Oryctolagus cuniculus: one gene and its partners. The protein of the gene in region 3 binds, or shares a complex with, the protein of the main gene of each other region. Links are inferred from orthologs where the notes say so. Each region holds a gene or a part of one and is shown on either strand. Other genes may lie near its edges.

What was found. Proteins that work in one complex are often made in the same cells at the same time.
Region 1: EXOSC3 (region 3) and EXOSC8 share a complex: the UniProt entries of both Homo sapiens proteins name them as parts of the RNA exosome core complex. The link is inferred for Oryctolagus cuniculus from reciprocal best matches to the Homo sapiens genes EXOSC3 and EXOSC8.
Region 2: EXOSC3 (region 3) and EXOSC1 share a complex: the UniProt entries of both Homo sapiens proteins name them as parts of the RNA exosome core complex. The link is inferred for Oryctolagus cuniculus from reciprocal best matches to the Homo sapiens genes EXOSC3 and EXOSC1.
Region 4: EXOSC3 (region 3) and EXOSC6 share a complex: the UniProt entries of both Homo sapiens proteins name them as parts of the RNA exosome core complex. The link is inferred for Oryctolagus cuniculus from reciprocal best matches to the Homo sapiens genes EXOSC3 and EXOSC6.

The regions. Positions count from the first base shown.
Region 1 is NC_091440.1:77,082,283-77,086,482, reverse strand, and holds the start of EXOSC8 (exosome complex component RRP43), read left to right. Parts: upstream 1-1,400; 5' UTR 1,401-1,523; coding exon 1,524-1,540; intron 1,541-2,811; coding exon of another isoform or gene 2,812-2,827; coding exon 2,828-2,864; intron 2,865-3,062; coding exon 3,063-3,126; intron 3,127-3,787; coding exon 3,788-3,861; intron 3,862-4,200. Other genes in the region: ALG5 (dolichyl-phosphate beta-glucosyltransferase), read right to left, coding at 374-650. UniProt on the Homo sapiens protein: Non-catalytic component of the RNA exosome complex which has 3'->5' exoribonuclease activity and participates in a multitude of cellular RNA processing and degradation events.
Region 2 is NC_091446.1:32,396,796-32,401,074, forward strand, and holds the start of EXOSC1 (exosome complex component CSL4), read left to right. Parts: upstream 1-1,479; 5' UTR 1,480-1,603; coding exon 1,604-1,634; intron 1,635-1,741; coding exon 1,742-1,857; intron 1,858-2,968; coding exon 2,969-3,043; intron 3,044-4,279. UniProt on the Homo sapiens protein: Non-catalytic component of the RNA exosome complex which has 3'->5' exoribonuclease activity and participates in a multitude of cellular RNA processing and degradation events.
Region 3 is NC_091432.1:200,611,408-200,615,564, forward strand, and holds the start of EXOSC3 (exosome complex component RRP40), read right to left. Parts: upstream 2,801-4,157; 5' UTR 2,734-2,800; coding exon 2,410-2,733; intron 1,169-2,409; coding exon 1,019-1,168; intron 1-1,018. UniProt on the Homo sapiens protein: Non-catalytic component of the RNA exosome complex which has 3'->5' exoribonuclease activity and participates in a multitude of cellular RNA processing and degradation events.
Region 4 is NC_091449.1:56,939,808-56,942,863, forward strand, and holds EXOSC6 (exosome complex component MTR3), read left to right. Parts: upstream 1-1,385; 5' UTR 1,386-1,459; coding exon 1,460-2,275; 3' UTR 2,276-2,556; downstream 2,557-3,056. UniProt on the Homo sapiens protein: Non-catalytic component of the RNA exosome complex which has 3'->5' exoribonuclease activity and participates in a multitude of cellular RNA processing and degradation events.

The sequences.
Region 1 (4,200 bases), on a different chromosome or scaffold from region 3:
GTCCAAACGCCCTCGGGGTGGGGTGAGGGCAGAACTGCAGAGGCTGCAGGTGCAGGAAAAGCAAGTCTGGAAGATGGAAGCATAGGTCGAGGCTGGCAAGCTGGGTGGGCAGGGGGTCTCGGACCAGGGGGCGAGCAAGGCCGGGACGAGTGTATGGGTTGGTGAGTCCAACGTGGCAAAGTTTACAGGGTCCCGGGCACAGAGTTCCAAGGACAGGAGGAACTGAAATCCAGGAGATGGAACTGGAGTCAAGCGGGGAGAAAACGGACTAGTTCAAGAAGCCGCAGCACCCAAAGAGCGGACGCCCTGGGCGCCTGCGGCTGCAGGGGAACGGGGAGCCCAGGCCCGCGCCGCTCCCGACCCCTGTCCTCACCAGTATGAGTGCTGCGGCCGCAAGCGCCACGCCGAGCACCGCCAGCTGCAGCAGGAGCGGAGCCATCCTCCATGCCGGGGCCGTCTCCGCCGCCCTCCCTATCCCGCAGCTCCACACACGCGGAAGTGCGCCCGCGCGGGCCCGCCTCCCGCCGCCAGAGAGGCCGCGGCGGCCGGGCGCCCTCCGCCCACAGCGCCCCCGCGCGGCCACGGCCGGCCGCGACCCGGGCAGGCGCCGACGGCGAGGACGCGCCGCGCGGCTGGGCCAGGCGCTGCATCCGCGGAGAGGCCGCAGACTGCAGGGCGAGCTGCGTTCGGTAAGTCAGGTGCACGAGACGTCCGCTTGAGTTTCAGCTCAACAACTAATAATTTTAACGGCCTTGAACTATGTAACTCGCATACGGTGCAGTCCACGCATTTAGAGGTATGGGTTCTATTACTATTTTAAAATTCAGGTTAAACAGATTTGGCCGTTTTAACCATGTGGAGTGCACAGTAGAGTGGTGTTGATTACCTTCGGAACTCTGTGCAACCATGTCTATAGCTAAAACTTGCCCTGTTCATCCCAGCTCCTACTGACAACTAAGGACATGCACTCCTACTAGAATGGTCAACCTTGTTTTCCCAATCTTCATTCAGATTTAGTTGGGTGGCCTGTACTGGACCTGGCAACCCTGCCTGGGAGGCAGGACATGGTGGATTAACGCACACTGCTCCAGCTCCTGGGCTTGCACAGTGTAACCTGGAGAGCAGCACGCATTTCCGAGGTGCAGGAGCTGGCAGCCCCTCACCTGGGCCTCGCCTGAGATGGGGAAGAGACACGGGAGCTGCGCACGCACTGTGCAGCCCTTGGTATAAGCTGTTGTCTCTTAAACTGCTGGCGTTATTCTGAACCCTCAACCTTTCCTAAAGAACACCCTTTCACTTCTCTGATGCCAGATTCGTCAAAATACGTGCAAGGCAAGGAAACCTAGAGGCGCATCCGGCTCGGGAAGGCCAAGGCCAAGCGAGCGCCACCACGATACCGCGCCGCCAAGCGCACCTCCAGCGGCTGCGGGAAGGCCCCGGCGACCGCCGGGACGTGAGAGCTCTGCGCAGGCGCGCGTGCCGGTGGGCGGAGCGGCGCAGGCGCAGGCGCGCGCGCGGGGAAGATGGCGGCCGGGTTCAAGTGAGTGTCAGTGTCTGGCGGGCCCGAGTTGTGGACTCTGGCGCTTGGGGGTTTCCCCAACCCTTAGTTAAGATTTTTCTCGCCTGGAAGTCGACCCCGCCAAGGTCCCGTTTTTTTCCCCGCCAAAGCAGGCGACAGGCGGGAGGACCTGGAGGTGCCCCTGAGTGGAGACTGGGGATGTAGGGACTGGAGCGCGTGTGAGCCCGCGGTGCAGGGAACGCGCACCCGGGGGACAGTTCTGTAGCCCCGCAAAGATTGTTGCATCGAGCCCCCTGTGCCCGGTCCTCCGGGTCGCGTAGTGTGTTTCCGAGGGTTGTGCGTCCTTCAAAAGGTTTGACTTCAAGCCTTTTTTGGGTGCTATTCTGTTGAAGCCTATTGACTCTCCGAGTAAGATGTTTTCTAAGGTTTTTTTTTTTTTTTTTTTCACTTGGGAGACATATGGATAGAGCTATCCATCCTCTGGTCCACTCCTCAGATGTCTGAAGCTGGGAGCTGGACAGTCCCCTCCAGGTTTCCCACGTGGGTGGCAGGAACCCAAGTACTTGAGCCAGCCCCTGGGTTCCAAAGGAAACAAATCATATTGAAGTTATTATAAACTCTTTAGGATATAAAATTAGCTTTCTTAAGTAGTAGGGCGTCCAGTAACTCCGGGAATTTCAGAGTAAAGATGAACCTCAACATGCACATGAAAGTAAAAAATCAGAACATTATCTCTGCTAAAGTTGTAGGTACTGCTGTTATTATAATGGTTTATTGCATGTTTGCAGTCATAACTGAACTCTATGCTAAAGTGTATGCTGAATTTCAGTTACAATAAATGAAGATGTGGCTTTTTTCATGATCACTAGGTTAAGAATCCCTGTCTCAGAGCAAAAGTGATTATTAAATGATTATTTTAACTCATAAATTAATCCTCTTTCAGACATGTCAAAGGACTCTGGATTCCAGTGCTCTGTTTGTTTAAGACAGTTAAAGGCAGCAATGGGGTGTGATTGCTACTGTAAGGGTATATACTTTTTATAATTACAAGGTTACTTCAAAAGGTTCATGGAAAATAAAAGAAAAATTTATTTTCATGCTCCAAATTTTGAAATCCATGTAGTTTTTCTAATACACACTTTTTTTAAAACTTTTTGAAGATTCCCCCATACTTGCAGGCAGCAACATGAACATCAAAATGCGCAAAAGAAACTTAGTTACAAGTTGTGGAGGTTTATGCTGTATCACATTTTAAAATTCTTTGCCAGTTAAGACTCATTAATTTACTTCAGTATTAACGTGTTTCAGAACTGTGGAACCTTTGGAGTATTACAGAAGATTTCTGGTGAGTAAAGGTGGTTATGTATGTGCTATTTTGATAATATATTATTACAGTATATATAATATGTAATATTCTTTTAAAGACATATTCCAAGTAATTTAAATTCATTTGCATTAATGGGGTTTAATGTGTCTCCCCTGGTGTGTGTAAAATACACATGACAATATAACATAATCTCTTATAAGTAAACTTTCTATTTAGAAAGAGAATTGTCGCCCTGATGGAAGAGAACTTGGTGAATTCAGAACCACAACCGTTAATATAGGTGAGGATGTGTTTTCCAGCTACAACTGTATGACATTTGCAAGTTTTAGCCTTCTGAACCACATACATGGTTTTTGAGCCAAATTTATCATATCCGAGGGATTTTTTTTTTTTTTTTTGACAGGCAGAGTGGACAGTGAGAGAGAGAGACAGAGAGAAAGGTCTTCCTTTGCCGTTGGTTCACCCTCAAATGGCCACTGCGGCCAGTGCACCGTACTAATGCGAAGCCAGGAGCCAGGTGCTTCTCCTGGTCTCCCATGCGCGTGCAGGGCTCAAGGACTTGGGCCATCCTCCACTGCCTTCCCGGGCCACAGCAGAGAGCTGGCCTGGAAGAGGGGCAGCCGGGACTAGAACCCAGTGTGCCGGTGCCGCAGGTGGAGGATTAGCCTATTGAGCCGTGGCGCTGGCCAATGATTTTCTGTACTATTCAGACTGAAAAATTGATTCAAATTCAAGGATAGGTGAATAATTCTAAAAACATTAATTTAATTTGTTATACCATTTTAAAATCAGTTATTCAAACTTGGAATCAGTTTTTGCAAGCAACAGATACGTAGCAAGATAATTACACATGGCAAACATGAGACACAGAGTTTTAATACTTATTTAGGTAATTCTGTAACTTTTCCTTTTAGAGACTAATCATTCTGTTTACTTTTCAGGTTCAATTAGTACTGCAGATGGTTCTGCTTTAGTGAAGCTGGGAAATACTACAGTAATTTGTGGAATTAAAGCAGTAAGTTTAACATGTGTCCCATTGAGATTTGAGCTACCAAATTAGCTTCCTGTATTTATTAAATTGTAATATACACCTATACCTCTGTGATTAGGCATTCAGGTATGTTTTTTAGTATTTAGTTGCTCAAAAAGCTTTTACCAGTGAGTACTAGATCATATGACTCAAGTTTAATGACTCTTACGCAAATCTGTCAAATGTACTAAAATGAAGCAACTTTTTCAATCCTCATCCTTAATTTTAAATAATATATCAGTTAAGAAATTGAGGGAAGTGTTTGGTGATGCCTTTTAATAGTGAGTGATGGTATGTAATCTGCATAAATGTGTAGAAAATTGA
Region 2 (4,279 bases), on a different chromosome or scaffold from region 3:
ATGGACTTCTCCCCCGAGGCGAAGCAAAATTCCAAACATCATGTGCGTCTGAGGAAGGGGCAATCTCAGTGCAGAGAGAAGGGAACAGAGCAAAGGGCAGTTCTACTATTGCACCAAGCACCAACCGGAGTCCTCCTGTCAGCAGCAGCCACAGGCTCTCGTGGCCATCTGCCATCATATTACAGGAGACTACAGGCCAAGGCACCTCCCTCTTCCCAGGGCTCTAAAGCGCCATCTGTTCCCAAGGGGAAACCAATGGGGGGAGGCGAGGGGACAGATTCCAAAGCCACTGGAAGGGAGATGAAGCAGCCAACGTCAGGGGCAGGCGTCTGGCAGTGATTAACACCCTCCTTGGCCTCTCATTCTCAGTCTTCCATTCCAGCTCCCTGCTAATGCGCCTGGGAAAGTAGCAGAGGATGGCCCAAGTGCTTGGGTCCCTACACCCACGTGGGAGACCCGGAAGAAGCTCCTGGCTCCTGGCTGGCCCAGCCCTGGCCATTGCGGCCATTTAAGGAATGAGCCAGTGGATGGAAGATCTCTCTCCTCCTCTCCATGTCTTCCTTTCAAATTAATTAATTAAAAAAAAAAAAATCCTGCTTCCATTGCATATGGAAGATCTCTGTCTCTGTGTCAAATAAATTTAAAAAAATATCAAAGTCGTGCCAATCTCATCTAGACAAAGATGCTGCTCTCAGGATGTGTGCAAGCTCATGCAAGAGATGTCAGAAGTCAGTAAAGAATAGCAACTTACTCACGTGCCCACTTCCCTTCCTGGCTAACCCGCTAAGAGAAAGGGTAGCAACTTTCTCACGGGTCAGTTCGTCAAAAGTTAAAGAAGGGCCCGGACAACTACAGCTGCAGAACGAGCCTTATCTTTCAGGTAGGGCGGCATGGTCAAACCGCGATGCACTGGAAGCCGAAAGCTTGGATCCGGCTTGCGCTCTATCTTGAATTATCTTCAAGGCTCGGGACAAGTCAAACCCTGGCGTTGGATTTCCAAATCTGAGAAATGGGCAAGTTGGGTTGGTTAACTTCTGCTCTGTGCGTTATGGTTGCCCAGAGGGTGCGCCTCGCCCGAGGACTGCTCGGCCTTGCAGGGCGGGGCGAGGAGAGCAAGAAACCAGACTCAAGACAGGGCCCTGGGGCAGGGCCCGACCCTACAAAACAGGGGCTATGAGAGGGAGCAAGGGCCACGGCTTCGCCCCTACCTGCCGCCTGCCAATTCCTCGATCATCCAAATCACGCCCCGCAGCCTCGGCCGCAGCTCACTGCCACCTACTCCAGCCTGGCGCCCCGGGCGGGCCTGGCTCAATCCGTCCCACCATGCCCCGCCAGCCGCAGCGCCTGCCAATGGACCCGGACCCGCCGCCTGCCCATCCTCAACCCTAGGCGCAGGCGCAGGCGCAGGCACACGAGCCCGAAGTTCCGCCCCCGGCCTTCTCCCGGGGAAACCTGGGAAATGGAGTTTGCCCTGCAGGAGGCGTGTCGCCGGGCACGTGACAAAGCCCGCCAATTGGCACGTTCCTTACTGCAGCACTGTGTCTGGGTTCGGCCAACGAGACGTCGGCTTCGTTTCCATCCGGGCTCTGGGACAGTGGCAGTCATGGCGCCACCTGTAAGGTACTGCATCCCCGGTAAGTGCACGGCTCCCGTACGGAGTCCCGGCTAGGGCCAGAGGCAGGAAGGCAGGACGCCTAGCAGCCTCTGGGGACCAGTGACCGATGCAGCGCTCTTTCCGCAGGCGAACGTCTGTGTAACTTGGAGGAGGGCAGCCCAGGCAGCGGCACCTACACACGGCACGGATACATCTTTTCTTCCCTCGCCGGCTGTCTAACGAAGACCAGCGAGAACGGCGCGGTACGCGGGGCGGCTGGCCATCTCCCTTCTTTGTCATGGACTGCCCTTGAGTTCCGGCCCTTAGGCCCGGGTAGGGCAGGCGCGTCCCTGTAGAACGACTTGGTCTCGGTTGGCCGTGGGCGCCGCACACCGGTCGTGTGGACCTCGCGCGGTTGGGGCTGCCGACCCCTAGGGGCAGCTGCGAGCTGAGAGTGACCCCGGCCAATCCGGCAGCCAGCCGAATCCCGCCCGAGTAGTCCCGACCTGTCCGTCTTCATCCGGCTCGGCGGCACTGCCCGCAGTGCAGTTGGCTTGCTTCCCCCGTGTCTCCTGCCATCCGCCTGAACGCGCGCCTCTCCTCGGTCTATGTAACTCTGACCTCGTTCAACTAGCCTCTCGTATCACTTTTTGGAAGGGATTTTGGCGGGGGTGGGGGTGGGGGAGGTTGAGTCTTGTTTTTATTTTGTTAAACTCACTTCCGAGCACTTGTTTCAGCCTGCAAACGCCCAAAGTTCCACGCAAGCAGGCCGCACCACCCACCTTACCTGCAGTGCCCGGCACAAGGCAGATGGTCAGTTGAATACATGAGCGATGTTGTCCTGGCCAGTTCCAGAGATCAAACCAGGACCAGCTCCCGATCAGATACGCAGTCTTGGAAGGAGCAGCTTAAAGATGGGTAGCACAGGAGAAAAAGGATTCAGAATTAGAACGTGCTTGCTCAGAAAGAAAGCCCTACAGATATTCTCTAAAGATAGAAGGAAACCAGTATCCAGTATTATAAAACACTTAGAAATGTTAGCCGGGCAATAAAATAAGAAATAGAAACAGTGCGACTTTGGAGGTCAGAATCAAATCCATGGCTACAGGTAATATAGTGGTGTACTGAGAAATTCCAAGTCACCAAAAAACCAACTCTGCTCTGGAATGGTTAACTTATGTCTTCTACAGCAGCCTTGCCAGGGCCCCCGGGGCTCTTCCTAATGGAAGACCCTCTGTCCTGGACTGTAAATGAATCCATAGTCCATCTGCCTTGTGACCTCAACTCTGTGCCACAGCATTCCTGTCGAACTCTCCAGCCACACTTTACTCAGGGCTTAGCCAGAACATTCATTTTTTACTGTTCTCTTTGTAGCTCCCGGTAGTGTCTGTGATGAGAGAAGCGGAATCCCAATTACTTCCAGATGTGGGCTCTATTGTAACATGTAAGGTAAGTTGTTACCAGCCTCCATGCTTAGGACACCAACCCAGTGCACAGAGCATGATCATTCTTGAACTGCATTGTCCAGTCTGATAGCCACTAGCCTCATATGGCTATTTAAATTTAACAGTGTCAGGGCAAGCATATGACCTAGCGGCTAAGACATCGTTGAAGTACCTGTATCGCATGTTGGAATGCTTGGGTTTGATCCCTGGCTCCATCTGCTGACTTCAGTTTCCTGCTAATGCAGTCTCTGGCAGGCAGCAGGTGGTGGCCCAAGTAGTTAGGCTACTACCACCATGTGGGAGACCTGGATTAAGTACTTGACTCCCAGCCTCAGCCACTGCAGGCACTTAAGGAATAAATCAGTGGGTGGAAGTGTTCTCTTTCTTTCTGTCTCTCAAATAAATATTTCAAAATATGCTAGACAGTACTAACATTTCATTAAGCATACTAACCACTCGCCACATTTCCAGCTCTCAGTAGCTACTGTGGCTAGTGGTTGCTAATTTGGTCAGCACATGGTATTTCTATCATCACAGAATGTCTCACTGGACTGAGTGGTCTGGAGATTTCTAGGAAAATGAACAAAATTTGGGTATGCATAGTTATTTGAGCCGATTCCCTGACTTTGTGGTTCCCTCCAACATCTAGGAAATGGGTGAAAAGGAGACCTAATTTTGAACATCTGTGGCTGCGGCCTTTTTCTGCAGAGAAGCAAAAGACTTTATTCTCTGGAATTCCTATTAAATGTAAAGTCTTTTTTTTTTTTTTTTTTTTTTTGACAGGCAGAGTAGACAGTGAGAGAGAGAGACAGAGAGAAAGGTCTTCCTTTGCCGTTGGTTCACCCTCCAATGGCCGCCGCAGCTAGCATGCTGCGGCCGGCGCACAGCGCTGATCCGAAGCCAGGAGCCAGGTGCTTCTCCTGGTCTCCCATGGGGTGCAGGGCCCAAGCACCTGGGTCATCCTCCACTGCACTCCCGGGCCACAGCAGAGAGCTGGCCTGGAAGAGGGGCAACCGGGACAGAATCTGGTGCCCCAACTGGGACTAGAACCTGGTGTGCCGGCGCCACAGGCGGAGGATTAGCCTAGTGAGCCGCGGCGCCGGCCGAGTCTTTTTTTTTTTTAAGATTTTATTTGTTTATTTGAAGGGGCAGAGTTAGAGAGAGAGAGATGGGAAAAGATCTTGCATCTGCTTGTTCACTCCCCAAATGGCTGCAATGGCCAGGTCTAGGCCAGACCAAA
Region 3 (4,157 bases):
CTGTTCTGTTCACTCAAGGAAACATTAAATATCTACTTTTTGTCAGTGACCACGTTCCTAGAGAGGAACAAAACACTGTCTGCCTTTCAGAAGCATTTGGTCTTGGAGTGCAGCTGGGATGCACAGATTAGATTTCATTCGAGGCCAAATTCAGTTAAGTGCTAAAGCAAAGATAAAAAAGTGATGACTGGCAATGCCTTCACAAAGATGGTCCTGTTCACCCCAGATCCCAAAGGATGAGCCTGTGCAATCCCGACAGGGAACAACCTGAATGACCCAAGCAAGATACACGGGCAGGAAACTGAGTTCAGTAGAGTATGGTGTGATTCACGCACGCTGTGAAGGAGGTAACGCTGAGGAATTCTGCAGGCTTTGAAGAATCTTCCTTTTAGTCTGAGAAAGGGGATATCAGCTCCCCAAAGCCTCTATGGATGGGGTAAAAGGGTGGAGGTAAAGGAGTTAATAGGATCACTCACTGACTTCAGTTGTGGGGGCGGGGGTTTAAGGCCTGAACTTGCAAAGTGGAGACAAAGGGATGGAGGTAGGCTCAAAATAGGATTAAGCAACTAGTGACTAGAGGTGAAAGGGCAAAGAAGCCACCAAGTTCCTGGCTTGGGTAGACAGGAAGGGTGTGGCTATGCGACCTGAGAAGGCCAATTGCAAACTTTAGGTAAGAAGATGACTCCTCTGCAGGGCGAACAGACAGCTGCTGCTGATCTGCACCACCTGTCCTTCCCCCTCTCTAAGGCTGTGCCTGACCTTGGCCAGTGGATACGGACCTAACAGGTAACAGCGGAGAAAACAGAACCTCTCCCCTCCAAGGTGAAGCCTCCCAGGAACCAACGTCACAAATATAAACCAAGTGTGTGCCTCTGCTCCTGCAGACTCTGAAGGAACTCTGAGAGCCCGAACACTCAGAGATGATCCCGCACAGCTGGGAGAATGGCCAGGCTCTGGAGACAGGTCAGGCAGCTGCTGGATAAATGAACGTCCTAGGGGTCAAAGGCGCCATCATTACCTGCACATTAGGTCTGTTTCTTTTCGTTGCACCTTCAAATGCCAAGTAAGACAAAGAAGCTGGCTCACTCCCTCCAACGTCAACTTTGAATATATCTCCAGACTTAGCCGTCACTATGCCAATCACGTGGTCTCCTTTCACTGGAACATACTACAAAACAGAATTGAGAGAACAGCCATAAATGGCAAGCTATCATTGCAAGATATCTCCAGCAAGTTAGCCTTAGTTGTTGTCATTAAAGAGATAATTTTAAATATTCCGAAATGCAAGTTTACAAGTTAACCCATACAAGTTTGATTATATGCCATTTTCAGTAAAAGAGAGATCACAGTATAAACTCTCAGATTTACAGCTTCTATTCATTTTTTTAAAGATTTATTTATTTTTATTTGAGAATCAGAGTTACACAGAAAGGAGAGAGGAGGATAGAGGAAGAGGGGGAAAGGGGGAGAGAGGTCTTCCATCCGATGGGTCACTCCCCAGTTGGCCACAGCAGCCAGAGCTGCGCCGATCCAAAACCAGGAGCCTGGAGCTTCCTCCAGGTCTCCCATGTAGGTGCAGGGGCCCAATGACTTGGGCCATCTTCTACTGCTTTCCCAGGCCATAGCAAAGAGCTGGATCAGAAGAGGAGCAGCCGGGACTCGAATGGGCGCCCATAAGGGATGCCGGTGCTTCAGACCAGGGCGTTAACCTGCTGCACCACAAGTGGCCCCTACAGCTTCTATTCATTTGAGCCAGTATTTACCAGTAAGTCCCTAGCTTCTGCTGCATCCAAGTCCAGTGGCACTGGAATCCTTAGAACCAGGAAAGCACATTCCATTGTTAGACACTTTTTCCTACCAGGAAAGTTCTCACCTAAGAGCGATTTAACTCCCTGTAACTGCCACTCATTGAGCCTGGTTCTGCTCGCTGGGACGCCAAAGGTCAAGCCTGCTGTTCCAAAACCACTGGGATTTTAATGACAATAACCATGATTCAGTCTCCAGAGGCCTCTGTCAGGCTGCATCCCTACTGTTCATGGTCCTACATACAGTGGCTGCTGAGGTGGGCCCTGCACTACGGTGGTTCCAAATCAGCCTTAACGCAGCAAGGCACCACGGCCGCGCCCCCCACCCCTGACTTAACACAAGGCCCCTCGGCGGCCCCTTCCACGCTCACAGCCGCGCCCCCACCCCCCGCCTTAACACTGCAAGGCCCCACGGCGGCCTCTTCCACGCTCACGGCCGCGCCCCCACCCCCCGCCCTAACACAGGAAGACCCCTCGGCGGCCTCTTCCACGCTCACGGCAGCGCCCCCACCCTCCGCCTTAACACTGCAAGGCCCCACGGCGGCTTCTTCCATGCTCACGGCCGCGCCCCCACCTCCCCGTCCCCCCCGGGATCCCAGCTCACCCGCTTCTGTTGCGAGTCCACCCAGTAAACGCCACCGCCACTGCCACTGCTGGGCTCCTTGTGGCGGAGGAGGCCGCACTTGGTGACCAGAAGACGATCGCCAGAGCGCCGCAAGCCCGGGCCGCACACCACGCGCACGCGCGAGCACACCCCGGCATTCAGGCGTAACGGCCGCTCCCCGGCCCCGCCAGCGCCGTCTGCGTCCTCCTGTTCCGGCAGCAGCAGCTCCTCTCCTGGGAGCACCACCTGGTTCAGAACCGTGCACGCCGCCCGCGCCCCGCTGCCCGCGAGAGACTCAGCTGTGACAGGCGCAGATTCAGCCATAGTAGGCGTCACTAAACACTGCTTCCGGTACCCAACTTCCGCTTCCGTCTCCGAGTGGAGCAGCCAGCCCACGGCCGGATTTCCGCTTCCGGCCGTGGCTGTCGTTTGGCCTTGCACCCAAGTCTGCGAAGCCGGGTCTCTGCCAGCAGGCGGGTGCTCCTCGCCCAAGGCGGCTGTGATTGTGTCAGGACCCGAGCACCTGCCTCGTGGTCTGCCCGCGGGTCGGCAGTGAGCCACGCCCAGCTTGAGTCCACTGGAGAAGCCTGCACTTCCGGTCGCACCCCTGGACTACAAGATACTTCTCATAGGATCCCTGGAGAATTACGGGAGCTGAACAGAGGGACTTTGGAAACTACTTTGTGGGGCTCTTTTCGGACGCTACCTTCAGAAGTGTGCTGACCTTTACCAGGAAAAGTACTTTTTCTTCAAAGTAAAACTTCTTGGGGACCTGCGTTGTGGCCTAGTGGGTAAGGCTGCTGTGGTTCGAGTGCCGGCTGCTCCACTTCCCATCCAGCTCCCTGCTCACCTGGGAAAGCAGCAGAGGATGGTCCAAATCCTCGGGTTCCTGCATCCGCCTGGGAGATCTGGATGAAGCTCCAGGCTCCTGGCTTGGGTCTGGCTCAGCCCCTGCCTTGGAGGCCATTTGGGGAGTGAACCAGGAGGTGGAAGAGCTCTGTCGCTCTGTAACTCTGCCTTTTAAATAAATAAAATAAATCATAAAAAAAAAAAACACCTTGATTGTAACTAGAGAAGAAAACGTATTGGTCTTGCCTGTTTGTGTGCTCTTCCATGCCGACCACTCTAGTTCTGATTGTAGCCCAAGGTCTGGTATGAAACAATGCCTGGGCCGGCGCCGAGGCTCACTAGGCTAATCCTCCGCCTGCGGCGCCGGCACTCCAGGTTCTAGTCCCGGTCCGGGCGCCGGATTCTGTCCCAGCTGCTCCTCTTCCAGTCCAGCTCTCTGCTGTGGCCAGGGAGTGCAGTGGAGGATGGCCCAAGTGCTTGGGCCCTGCACCCCATGGGAGACCAGGAGAAGCACCTGGCACCTGGCTCTTGGCTTCGGATCAGCGCGGTGCGCCGGCAGCGGCGGCCATTGGAGGGTGAACCAATGGCAAAAGGAAGACCTTTCTCTCTGTCTCTCTCTCTCACTGTCCACTCTCCCTGTCAAAAAAAAAGAAAAAAAGAAACAATGCCTGATAAGTAAATGAATATAGTAATACTGTGACACACATTTGCCCCTAGACTTTTCACCCTGCAAAAATACACATCGCATTCACATATTATCTCTGCATGCCTGGGAAAATCAGTAACTGAGTTAAATTCCTACAGCTACCTTACCAAGAGCACACTTTTGATGCCCACGTGAGAAACCAAACACCTCGTACAGGTACTTCAGGGCTTCCAATCTTCCGACTTCTTGAGTC
Region 4 (3,056 bases), on a different chromosome or scaffold from region 3:
TCTAGAACCACTGGCCCAGGATCGCTGTCTACCTGTGTCAAGTTCACATCCAGAAATGCAGTTCTTTGCTGACCCGAGGCTTCTGGGTCTGCAGGTGGGCACTTGTGCTGCAGAGAATAAAGGACCATGTGCAATACTCATTGATGCCTTCTGGTCATTACCTCCCAGCATGCACCCCTGCTGACAGCTCTTGGCTACCCGAGGGTGTGTAAAACATGCTGACTCCAGCTCAGTCCAGCCCTAAACCCTTGAACTCAGTGTTTGTGGAGACGGGGGTGAGATGGAGAGAGAGGCTCTAATAATTCAGTGGTCCGAGGGGTTACAAAGCAAAGGTGCGCCTGGAGAACCTCCATTGTTTTTTTCTTTTAAAGATTGATTGATTTGAAGGGCAGAGTTACAGAAAAGCAGAGAGAGAGAGGTCTTCCATCCACTGGTTCACTACCCAAAGGGCTGCAGTGGCCGGAGCTGTGCTGATCCGAAGCCAGGAGCTTCCTCCAGGTCTCCCACGCGTGTGCAGGGGCCCAAGCACTTGGGCCATCTTCCACTGCTTTCCCAGGCCATAGCAGAGAGCTGGATTGGAGCAGCTGGTCTCAAACTGGTGCTCACATCGGATGCCAGCCCTGCAGGCGGCGGCTCTGGCTCATGTCCCTCCCCTCCCTCTGAAGCTCTTCATGTGGGGTCAGGGTATGAGGCTGGAGGGCAGTCTCTGGTACAGAAGATGTTTAAGGTGCAGCTATTGCCTCCTACTCTAGTGTCTGCCCATCACTCCCACTTGACCCAAAGACACTGGCCGGTCTCTGAGTCCAGTTTCCCCAAGTCTAAAATGGCAGAGTTTGGAAGGTGAAGGTACTGCTTGCCTGTGCCAGCCCCAACGGATGTCCTGTCCTCTGGATACAGCGGCTGGCCCCAGAGCCCAGGTCACGGTGCTGCTGACAGTGGAGGGAGAAGGAAAAGCAGGTGCATGCTGGGGTGAGGGGCGGTTCTCAGGGTGGGAAGGGGAGGCAGAAAGGGGGTGTTGATGTCCGTGTTAATGATACAAAGAGACTTACATAAAGCCAGTGCTGGAGAGAGATTCCATCCATCATATAGGCCTTCGTGCCAGCCAGGGGCTTGGGAGTGAGCAAGGCCAACTCCCCGGTGGGGACATATAAAATAGTCCCACAGATTAGTGCAAAACTAAGATAACTACAGCCTGCATAAGTGAGAAGACTAAGCGCTCGGGTAGGACCTGGCCTGGGAGACAGTCAACCGGCCCGTCCAGCCCTGGGCAACCTTGCTGCGGCTTCAAAGCCTTGGCGCCGCAGCCGTTCTCCCTCCACGGCGCCAGGGGGCAGTGCAGCCGCGACTGCCTGCGGCTCTCCCGACAGCCCCCGCGCGAGCGCGCGTCTTCAAGCGGGCGGAAGAGCCGGAGCGCGCGGTAGGACGACGGGCGGAAGCGGTGTGCTCGCCAGGTGCCGCCATGCCCGGGGACCACCGCCGCATCCGCGGACCAGACGAGTCGCAGCCGCCGCAGCTGTACGCCGCCGACGAGGAAGAGGAGCCCGCCGCCCGAGACCCGACGCGGCTGCGGCCGGTGTACGCGCGCGCCGGGCTGCTGAGCCAGGCCAAGGGCTCGGCCTACCTGGAGGCGGGAGGCACCAAGGTGCTGTGCGCCGTGTCGGGCCCACGCCAGGTCGAGGGCAGCGAGCGAGGGAGCGGCCCTGCCGGCGCCGGCGGCGAGGCCCCGGCCGCGCTGCGCGGCCGCCTGGTCTGCGATTTCCGCCGTGCGCCTTTCTCGGGCCGCCGGCGCCGGGCGCCTCCGGGCGGCGGCGAGGAGCGCGAGCTGGCCCTGGCGTTGCAGGAGGCGCTGGAGCCGGCCGTGCGCCTGAGCCGCTACCCGCGCGCGCAGCTCGAGGTGTCGGCGCTGCTGCTGGAGGACGGCGGCTCGGCGCTGGCCGCCGCCCTCACGGCCGCCGCCCTCGCCCTGGCCGACGCGGGCGTCGAGATGTACGACCTGGTGGTGGGCTGCGGCCTGAGCCGCGCGCAGGGGCCCACGCCCGCCTGGCTGCTGGACCCGACGCGGCTGGAGGAGGAGCGCGCCGCCGCCGGCCTCACCGTGGCCCTCATGCCGGTGCTCAACCAGGTGGCCGGGCTGCTGGGCAGCGGGGAGGGCGACGCGACCGAGACTTGGGCCGAAGCCGTGCGGCTGGGCCTCGAGGGCTGCCAGCGACTCTACCCGGTGCTGCAGCAGTGCCTGGTGCGGGCCGCCCGCCGCAGGGGCGCCGCCCTGCCCTGAGCCGGCGGGCGAAGTGGAGCCGCGAGCGGACAGAGCGTGCGGAGATGGACAGTTGCGTTGGAACGGCTGTCGACAGACGAACGTTTGACGATCTTTCCAGTCCCCAGCCAGAAGCCAGCGCAGGAAGCCGCGGGCTGCTTGCTTACTCCCGAGCTGGGAAGGACTTGAGCCGGCCTGGTCCGGAGCGCGGGATCTGTGTGACTCCGGAGACGATGGACAGGGCGCTGCGCCTTCTCACAGCGGGACTGAAACAACAAAACCGTTTTTTTTTGTATTCGAAATACGCGTGTCGTGGTTCTTAGTACAGGATTTTCAGAGAGAGCAAGGCTCCCTGGCGGTGAGGCTCAGGACAGCACTGCCCCGCCTGTGTCGTGTCCCTTGGACCGGTGAGCCGACCAGACGGGCCAGAATCCTGAAGCAGCTGCGGGTTTAGAAGTGGGCCGTGTGCTTGGCAGGAAGACACGCCGCCGCCTCCGGTGCCCGTGAGGGCGGCTGCTGCGCCGGGAGGAGAGTTGGACGGCCCGGGAGCACTCGGGGGTCCCGGAGCTCATGGCTGTGCCGCGAGAGGCCCCAGCGCAGGGTTCCCGAGAGCTGGAAAGGGTTTTGCTGGGGGTGGAAGCCGGATCCCAGCCTTCCGTGGCCAGGGCCACAGCAGTCCAGTCAAAGGCCTGCACTGCCGCTGAGTGGGCCCCTGGGCTGCCTTCATCTGCCCGTTGTCCAGCCTGAGCCCCTGGGGAGAGGGCGGGTGAACTGGCTTCTGGGAAAGCAGAGGAGCATGGCT